Arabidopsis thaliana: one gene and its partner. The protein of the gene in region 1 interacts with the protein of each later gene in a pairwise test. Each region holds a gene or a part of one and is shown in the gene's direction. Other genes may lie near its edges.

Evidence for each region.
Region 2: the proteins of AT4G01920 (region 1) and TTL interact in a two-hybrid assay, tested with the Arabidopsis thaliana proteins (one large-scale study listed by BioGRID).

Annotation. Positions count from the first base shown.
Region 1 is NC_003075.7:829,094-833,025, reverse strand, and holds the start of AT4G01920 (Cysteine/Histidine-rich C1 domain family protein), read left to right. Parts: upstream 1-1,737; 5' UTR 1,738-1,946; coding exon 1,947-3,923; 3' UTR 3,924-3,932.
Region 2 is NC_003075.7:12,812,668-12,816,599, forward strand, and holds the start of TTL (coiled coil protein), read left to right. Parts: upstream 1-2,138; 5' UTR 2,139-2,199; coding exon 2,200-2,462; intron 2,463-2,696; coding exon 2,697-2,823; intron 2,824-2,953; coding exon 2,954-3,245; intron 3,246-3,343; coding exon 3,344-3,420; intron 3,421-3,836; coding exon 3,837-3,891; intron 3,892-3,932. Other genes in the region: PAP24 (purple acid phosphatase 24), read right to left, coding at 1-28, 120-252, 343-424, 536-665, 763-855, 937-1,056, 1,143-1,212, 1,297-1,388 and 1 more. UniProt on the Arabidopsis thaliana protein: Key regulator for endosperm and embryo nuclear divisions.

The DNA of each region.
Region 1 (3,932 bases):
TTTCTGACATTCGTTTTCTACAAAATTTCACCTTGAAAATGAACAACACAATACTATCAGTCTTGCATTATCATGATTGTCAGCTTTTCGCTTCTTTCTCAACGTATTGTATAGTCTGTTTCAGGATCATTAGAAATAGTAAGAAAGTAAACCATTGTTGCAAGAAATCTTGGCAATGGCGTCTTCAAACAATTGTTGTTTCAGATTACTAACATAAAAACAGGGACTTCAGTTTTTATTAGGAACAGAGTTCCGATGTCTGAGAACCAGGACAGATGTTTTCTGCATAATTCATTTACAGTTAAAAACACATCTTGATTGATTCAACATGAAACCAAACACAGACTCCATTCATTATTATTCGCAGAATCTAGAGACCGAAATGAAAATGTTTTATCAACATGTACACACGTTTTAAGGCAAGCCAAGATTTGTGTCTTTCTTTTGAAAAGAAAAAAAAAAGAAATTAGATCTAAGAAACTTGCAATTTTAATTTGATATGATCAGCTGTTTCAAACAATTATGCCTTGTCTTTGGAATGAAGGATCTTTACTTACGCCGTTGTATTGAACATAATGCCAACTACTGGTTATTGCGCTATGTAATGCATATGAATCAAGATGTCCAGAGAGTGGGCTTTTCTTTTAGATTTCTTGTACCATTTCTTTTACATGTTCATTTCCATTATAATAAGTTGATTTCCTTCATGTATTATTTATCTATGAATGTTGCAATTTTGACTTTGACGATCTAGCTGTTTCAAACGTTAATATGAATATTAATTCCAAGATCTAGTGAATTAAAAAATAATTGAGATATCCAGCTCATAAAAAAATAGTTCAGAGTTTAAAAATGGATCCGAATCCAATGTTTTTAGATTTCTTTCATTTTCATTTTTTATATAAATAGTGCTAATTGATACGACTAAAGAATTAAAAATTGACTATTTTAAACTAGTGGTTCATTTTAATAAAATAATACTAATGATTGATATTGTAAAACTATTTTTCCGTTTACTTTTAAATAAGGTTTTGTGCTAACTCATCCATTTTGCAACTTTATTTTCTACCTCCAATAAATGCAGATTATTTTTATGAAGTCTAAAATAATACAAAATATGATCTTTATATATATATATATATTGTAAACGTTTTTACGGTTATATACATTAGATTTTTAAAATTTTGAAGGTAAAGTTAAATTCTTCTTCGCGAAAGTTTTAATTTAACATATTATTATCGATATTTTACAAAATTGTTGGTAACAAAAAAAAAGGCAAAAGAGGGTTATAATGCATATTATTTTATATTGTTAATGATTAATCTGTATTTGATGGAGGTAGAGGTTGAAGTTGCAAAAATGGATGAGGTATAGTGGTTTTTGCACAAAACCCTTAAAATACTTTAAAGATAATAATTTATTTTTTTGTATATCTAAGTTAAGTAATTGTAAATAAATATTAAACATTGTAACTAAAAATAAATAAATAAACATAATAAATAGAATGAATCATTTACTTGAGAGTTAGAAGATACATCAAAATGATAATCATAGAAAAAAACACCAAAACGATTGTTTATAAAATTAATTCAGTTGATGTAAATTATTAATTATTATAACTAACAAAATGCATGAAAAAACCGGCACGGTGCGGGTTTTGGGCCTAATTATTTTTTATTGTTAATGAAAGACCAATAAAACCAAAAGTCTAATAAAAAAATAATTTTGTAAGGGCATCGTTGAGGATTTGAGATTAACGCAGAGAAGACTTTTGAGAGAGAAAGGAGCTTAGCTTTGAGATTTCAGATCCAATCTTCTTTTTCATAAGAGCATCGTTGAAATTAAAGAGAGAAGACTTTTGAGAGAGAGAGAGAAACGTGAAAGAAACTTAGCTTTGAGATTTCATATCCAACTTCTTCTTCTTCAAAATCTCTTAGTAAACGACCATGGATTCTAAGGGAGTGTTAATGCCGTTGATCCACGAGCATCTTATGATGCCTTGGAAAAATCTGAAAAGAGGTCCTTGCTGTGGTTGCTGTGGACGCTTTGAAGCTATCAGTGATGGATACTACTGCAAAACCTGCGATTTTTTCGTCCGAAAAAATTGTGCTGACGAGCCCTCCGAATATATCAAGCATCCATCTCACCCCAAGCACACTCTTCAGCTGCTAAGACCTGAAAGACCTACTAATTTCTGCAATTTGTGTGGAAGGATGTGCCCAATATTCTATCGTTGTGATCTATGTGACTTCGACATGGATTTATACTGCTCAAAGTATCCACCACCAGAGGTTATTGACATTTCCAAGACGCATCACCACAGGCTTACCCTTCTCAAGAAGTGGATCAAGCAATGTATATGTGCTAAATGTTGCAAGATTATTGGTAATGAGTTTCCTTACAATTGTCATGAATGTGATTTATCCTTTCATGTGGATTGCGTATGGTATCCGCCCGAACTAGAACTCCGTTTAGAGGTAAACCATTCTTACCACTCTTTACACCCTCTTAAACTCTACGCAAAGGGTCAGTTACCGGATTATTCTGATGGGAAATGTCGTCTTTGCGCAAGAAAGATTGATGAAACATTTTTTTTCCATTGTTCTCCGTGTAACTTTACCTTGGACAAGGTTTGTGTTTTGCGCCCACCACAACAATCTCTTCTGAATTTGAAAGCTCATGATCACCAACTCACCCTTCTCCCAAAACTCGATTCTTTTACATGCAATGCTTGCGGGCTGAAGGGAGATCGTAGCCCTTACGTATGTTTTCAATGTGGTTTCATGATCCATCAAGACTGTCTTGGCCTTCCACGCCTCATCAACATTAACCGGCATGATCACCGTGTTTCTCGAACTTCTGTTCTTGGTGTTGTGAATTCTGTATGTGGAGTTTGTCGCAAAAAGGTGGACTGGTCTTATGGAGGTTTTTCTTGTCAGAGGTGTCATGGCTATGTTGTTCATTCAAAATGTGCTACTAGAAAAGATGTGTGGAATGGGAAAGAACTTGAAGGATTACCCGAAGAAACAGAAGATATAGAGCCATATGTGGTGATAGATGAAAACACAATACAACATTTTAGTCACAAAGAGCATTACCTAAGACTCAACGTTAATGGTGTTCTATGTGATGACAACAAGCGGTGCAAGGCATGCACCCATCCCATCTGTCTCCAGTCTTTCTACGGCTGTATGGATTGTAACTTCATTCTCCACCAAAACTGCGCTGGATTTCTTAGAATGAAATGGCATGTGCTACACAATGAACGTCTTACGTTGGTTACAAACAAGGATGAAGGCTTTAGGTGTTATGCTTGTGATAGATTGTCCAATGGTTTCAAGTACCAGCATGGGAATAAGGCATTCGATGTTCGGTGCATTTCAATTTCTGAGCCACATATCCATCCAAGTCATCCTAATCATCCCTTATATTACTTTCCATCAGACGAAGTACAATGGTGCACTGGTTGCAACATGGAGCAGGACTTTGTGCTTAGTTGCATTGAAGATAATTGTGGATTTTTATTATGCTTTGGATGCGCCACTTTACCACAAATGGTAAAGCATAGAGTTCATGATCATCCTCTCTCACTATGCTATGGCGAAAAGGCAAGTGGTAAATATTGGTGTGACATTTGTGAAAAAGAAACAAATCCACATACATGGTTCTATACGTGTAAAGATCATCAGGCTAGTTTGCATACAAAGTGTGTGCTTGGAGACCTTTCAAGTCTCATGCGAAGAAGCACAATAAAAATTGAGGGCACTTCATATGAGGTGGTGCTCAATAATAGTATATCTCGTCCATTTTGCAGCTGGTGTAAGATGCATTGTATTTTTCCTATCATCTTGAAGACACTTGGAGCCACGAATGAATACTCCTGCTCTCTTGAATGTGCAGAGTGTAGATATACAGACCGTTAAAGCCCAAAA
Region 2 (3,932 bases), about 12 Mb from region 1:
TGTACTCATTCGAGCCATCTCGCTCACCCTGAAACATATTTCAATCAAGGAAAATCATTTTAGATATTAGTCTGAGAGCGCATGGAGATCATAATGGCCTAAAAGAGACGATACCATACCTTTCCCATGTCACCAAATATTATGACCCGTTGTTTCGAGTCTTGTCCAGGATAAGGAGAGGACACAAAGGTGTAATTCTTGCTCCAAATTGTGGAACCATTGACCAAGTCATGGCCTAGCCTGTATATGTATCTGTAAACCAAAGGATTGAGAGTTACATGTATGAAACTATATTAGTGCTCCTGGATTAGACGATAAAGAAGCAAACTAAAGATTTCATACTCGCGGTTTGGCCAAAGTTCTTTCAAGAAAGAAGTATGGAAGAAACCAGGATCACGCCAACCAACGCCGCGAGCAGGATTACCTGTGTAAACATAGCATGCATCCACAAATCAAATCTCTAGAATGATCCAGATGAGTAGTTTCAGATATTCCAGGACTGCTGGCTCAGAGATCACAGCGAAACAGGACATACCACACATGCTGTTTCTGTTAAAGGTCAATGTTCCAGCTGGTGATCTTCTAGCTGGAAGTCCCTTTGCACTCCATTCAATGAAAGGAACAGCCTCATCTATGTTGTACCCACTAGTCCATGTCACGGTCATCTATCAAAGATAGAAAAATAAGCAAGTTTTAGCTAAAGATCCCAAATATTGTATAGCTGCTTCAGAAGTCTCAAGGCCATTGAGTGGAAAAACTTACTTCGTCCCAATTCTTCCCTAATGCAAGACGCGGATAGACAGGTGCTTTAGGATTGAAGAAAGCTACAGGATTCGAAACCCCGAGAAGGTGTGGCTGTGATATTCAAAAGATCAATAATTAAGTCCACTTGATATACAAAATACTAAACTGAGAAAAACTATAGTTATAACCTACCTCTTGAACTCCATTGGAAAACAGTGCAAAGGAGACATCAGCTCTCTGATTTATAATCTGGAACTTGAGAGTCACATTCCCGGACTTCATGTAATCTGGATGAGAATTACAATACATGTACTGCCAAATAGAAATTAAAAGGGGAATGTTACACCGGGACTTAAAAAAAAAAAAAAAATCACTGGTAAATATGTAATAAACCAAACCTTGATGGGAGAAGAGCATATGTAAGGAGTTTTCTCTTTGCCACCACTTGTTGGCCAACAGTTACCCGAACTAACAAACAACAAAGACAAGTTAATAATGCACAAATGGCACGTTCACAAGTTAACAAACACAGATGCAGATTAGAAAAAATACTCGAATTTTGCTGGAGAGAAAACTCCTATCCAATCATCTGAAGTGGGCTTGGGGTTGGAGATAGCAAGATTTACCCATTCTGTATCTTCACCCTGTAAGATCAAAGTCATGACATCAATAACATATCTATTTAAGTTTGGTTTTTGTGATAATTACGTGAAATCAAGAAAACATATTCAAGTCTATCATACAATTTTTTTGACATTTAAAAAAACCATCTCTTAAGAGTTAATATATATCTGTCAAACAAGAATCTGACAAGAACAATAATATGATGAAAGAATTTGTTATTGGAACCTGGGAACCAAGAACTTGAGGCGAAGCGTGAAGTTTGACAGAACTATCTAAAGCAAGACTTGTTTCGTAAACATTAATTTGAGCAAGTGCTTGATCTCCACGACCATTGGCATGATCCAAACATAAGCTCGAGCTGAACAGTGCGAGTAAACACAGAAGCACACCTAAAACTCTAGCCATATTTTTTTTTGTTTTTCCTTTGTTGTGACTGAGAAACAAAACCAGAAAGGTATATATATATATATTATAATCAGGATATATCTAGGAATCCCAAAATTGATTCATGTCTATCGAATTAAACAAAATCAAATATTTTCTTTCACCGTCAAATCTTTAGTCAGGAATATTCTAACAGTTTCTTTTTAATATTCTAACAGTTTTTTCTTAATGATAGTTCATACTGTTTTAAAAACAAATAATGATAACGGAAAAAACGGATTTTCGTTTTATTCAGACTTATGTACATTAGGCTGATCCGGGTCGGACCGGCTTTGAACCGGAAATTAATAAAGCTTGATTGTTAAATTTGGCAACCGTGGCTTCGGTTTCAATCGCGCTGTAATCGCATCACTAATTCGGGTCACTTTGGAAAGAAAGAAGAAGAAGATGAAGAAACCATCGAAAAAGAGCGAAATCGAGTTCTGCACGGTGTGCCGGTTTCATCACGACCAAGGCTCGCGCCACAAGTACTTCCCTCGCCACAAAAGTTCCCTCTCTTCCTTACTCGATCGATTCAGATCGAAGATAGCTGACGTCAGATTCTTCCTGAAGAACCCTAGCGTTCTACGGCCACAAGAGCAGTCGCAAAACCGTGTTTGGTGTGTCTTCTGCGATGAGGACATTGTTGAGCTCGGTAGCTCCTTCGCCTGGTATGCCATTCCGTTTTCTCTTTCCTCTCGATTTGTGACTGTTTGTTTGATTTGGGTTCATTGTTGTGCGAACATTAGTAGCTGTGTTACTTTATTTGAATGTAGAATCAGAGTGCGCAAGAGTTGATTGAAACTGTGCTAGAAAACTGGGATTGTATCTAAACTGATGCGTCTTCTGATGATAATTGATTTATTTGACTGCACATAATACTTTGTTTGGAAACTTTGTATCAGTTCTAAGGCTATCAATCACTTCGCAAGTTCCGATCATCTTAAGAATATCAAGCAATTTCTGTCGAAAAATGGCCCGGCAATGGATTGCATAGACGAGTTCCGAATTTCAGAAGCTGATGTAGCTAAGGTATGCACTATTTACTTGAATATTATGCTCTTCTGTTTTTACAGATCTCAATTGCAACCTTTGCGGTTTAAGAGTGTAGCCATGTTATTCGTTGAAATCTCTAATGAAATTCTATTCATGCTGGATGCAGTGGGAGAAAAAATGTCAGTCATTTGGAAATGAAGATGCATCTTTTGAAGGGTCCTGTGGACAGCTGTCTGGGACATCTAATGATATCCACACTAAACTTGCGTTTGAAACTATGGATAGAATTAAAAAAGTTCCTGCACACCATATAAATTCATATAAATCAAATGATGTTATGCCTTTACAGTATAATACGAATGAGTATCAGATATCACTTTCAGAGATTCCTGGAGTTATACATAATGGTTCATATCTGAACATGGATGATTCCCAATTCCCTCTATGTGATGAATCAGGTATTTTTGGTTGATTCCGACCTCCACAATTTGTCAGTTTCCAAGTGTTTACAAGTTGTGTATAATAGTCTCTAACTCTCTATAATTATATTTTCTAGGGAACGGGTTTGGCGAACATTCCATTCCTTGTAGAAGCAAGGACTACTCGGGCAACGGTAATTATTGCACCCAAGAGGTGGGTTTCAGTCATAGTAACATTGATATTCTGATAATCTGGTTATGGTGCATCTATATGACGCTTCCTGTTAGTTTCATCATGAGGATTCTTTGGCTCAGAATTTTGGTTATAGGCTAGTTTTTCTAAAGTTTATGGTCTTAAGTATTCCTTGGTTCAGGAATTTCTTATGTGTTATATGCGTAATTTGCACATCAAAAAAATTCTTCTATATATGAGAGGTTTTTTAGGCAGAATGAATTTTATTAAAGTTTGGGGTAAGAAATACTTTTGTGTGTTGTTTTTATCATCAAAGTTCCTTCACTGTTTGGCTATCTTTTTCCATGTGTTCAACTACATCATACCTCCAGAGCTATCTCATTGGCTAAGTCCAAACTTTTATAAAAGAGCCTGTGACTGACATTGTCTTCATCTAGAATTATCAGGTGAGCCAAGATAAGAAACAAATTGATGGCTCTTACAATCCTCCAGGTAGGCCTCTGCTTTCAAATTTGATCTGCGTTGTGTTAATT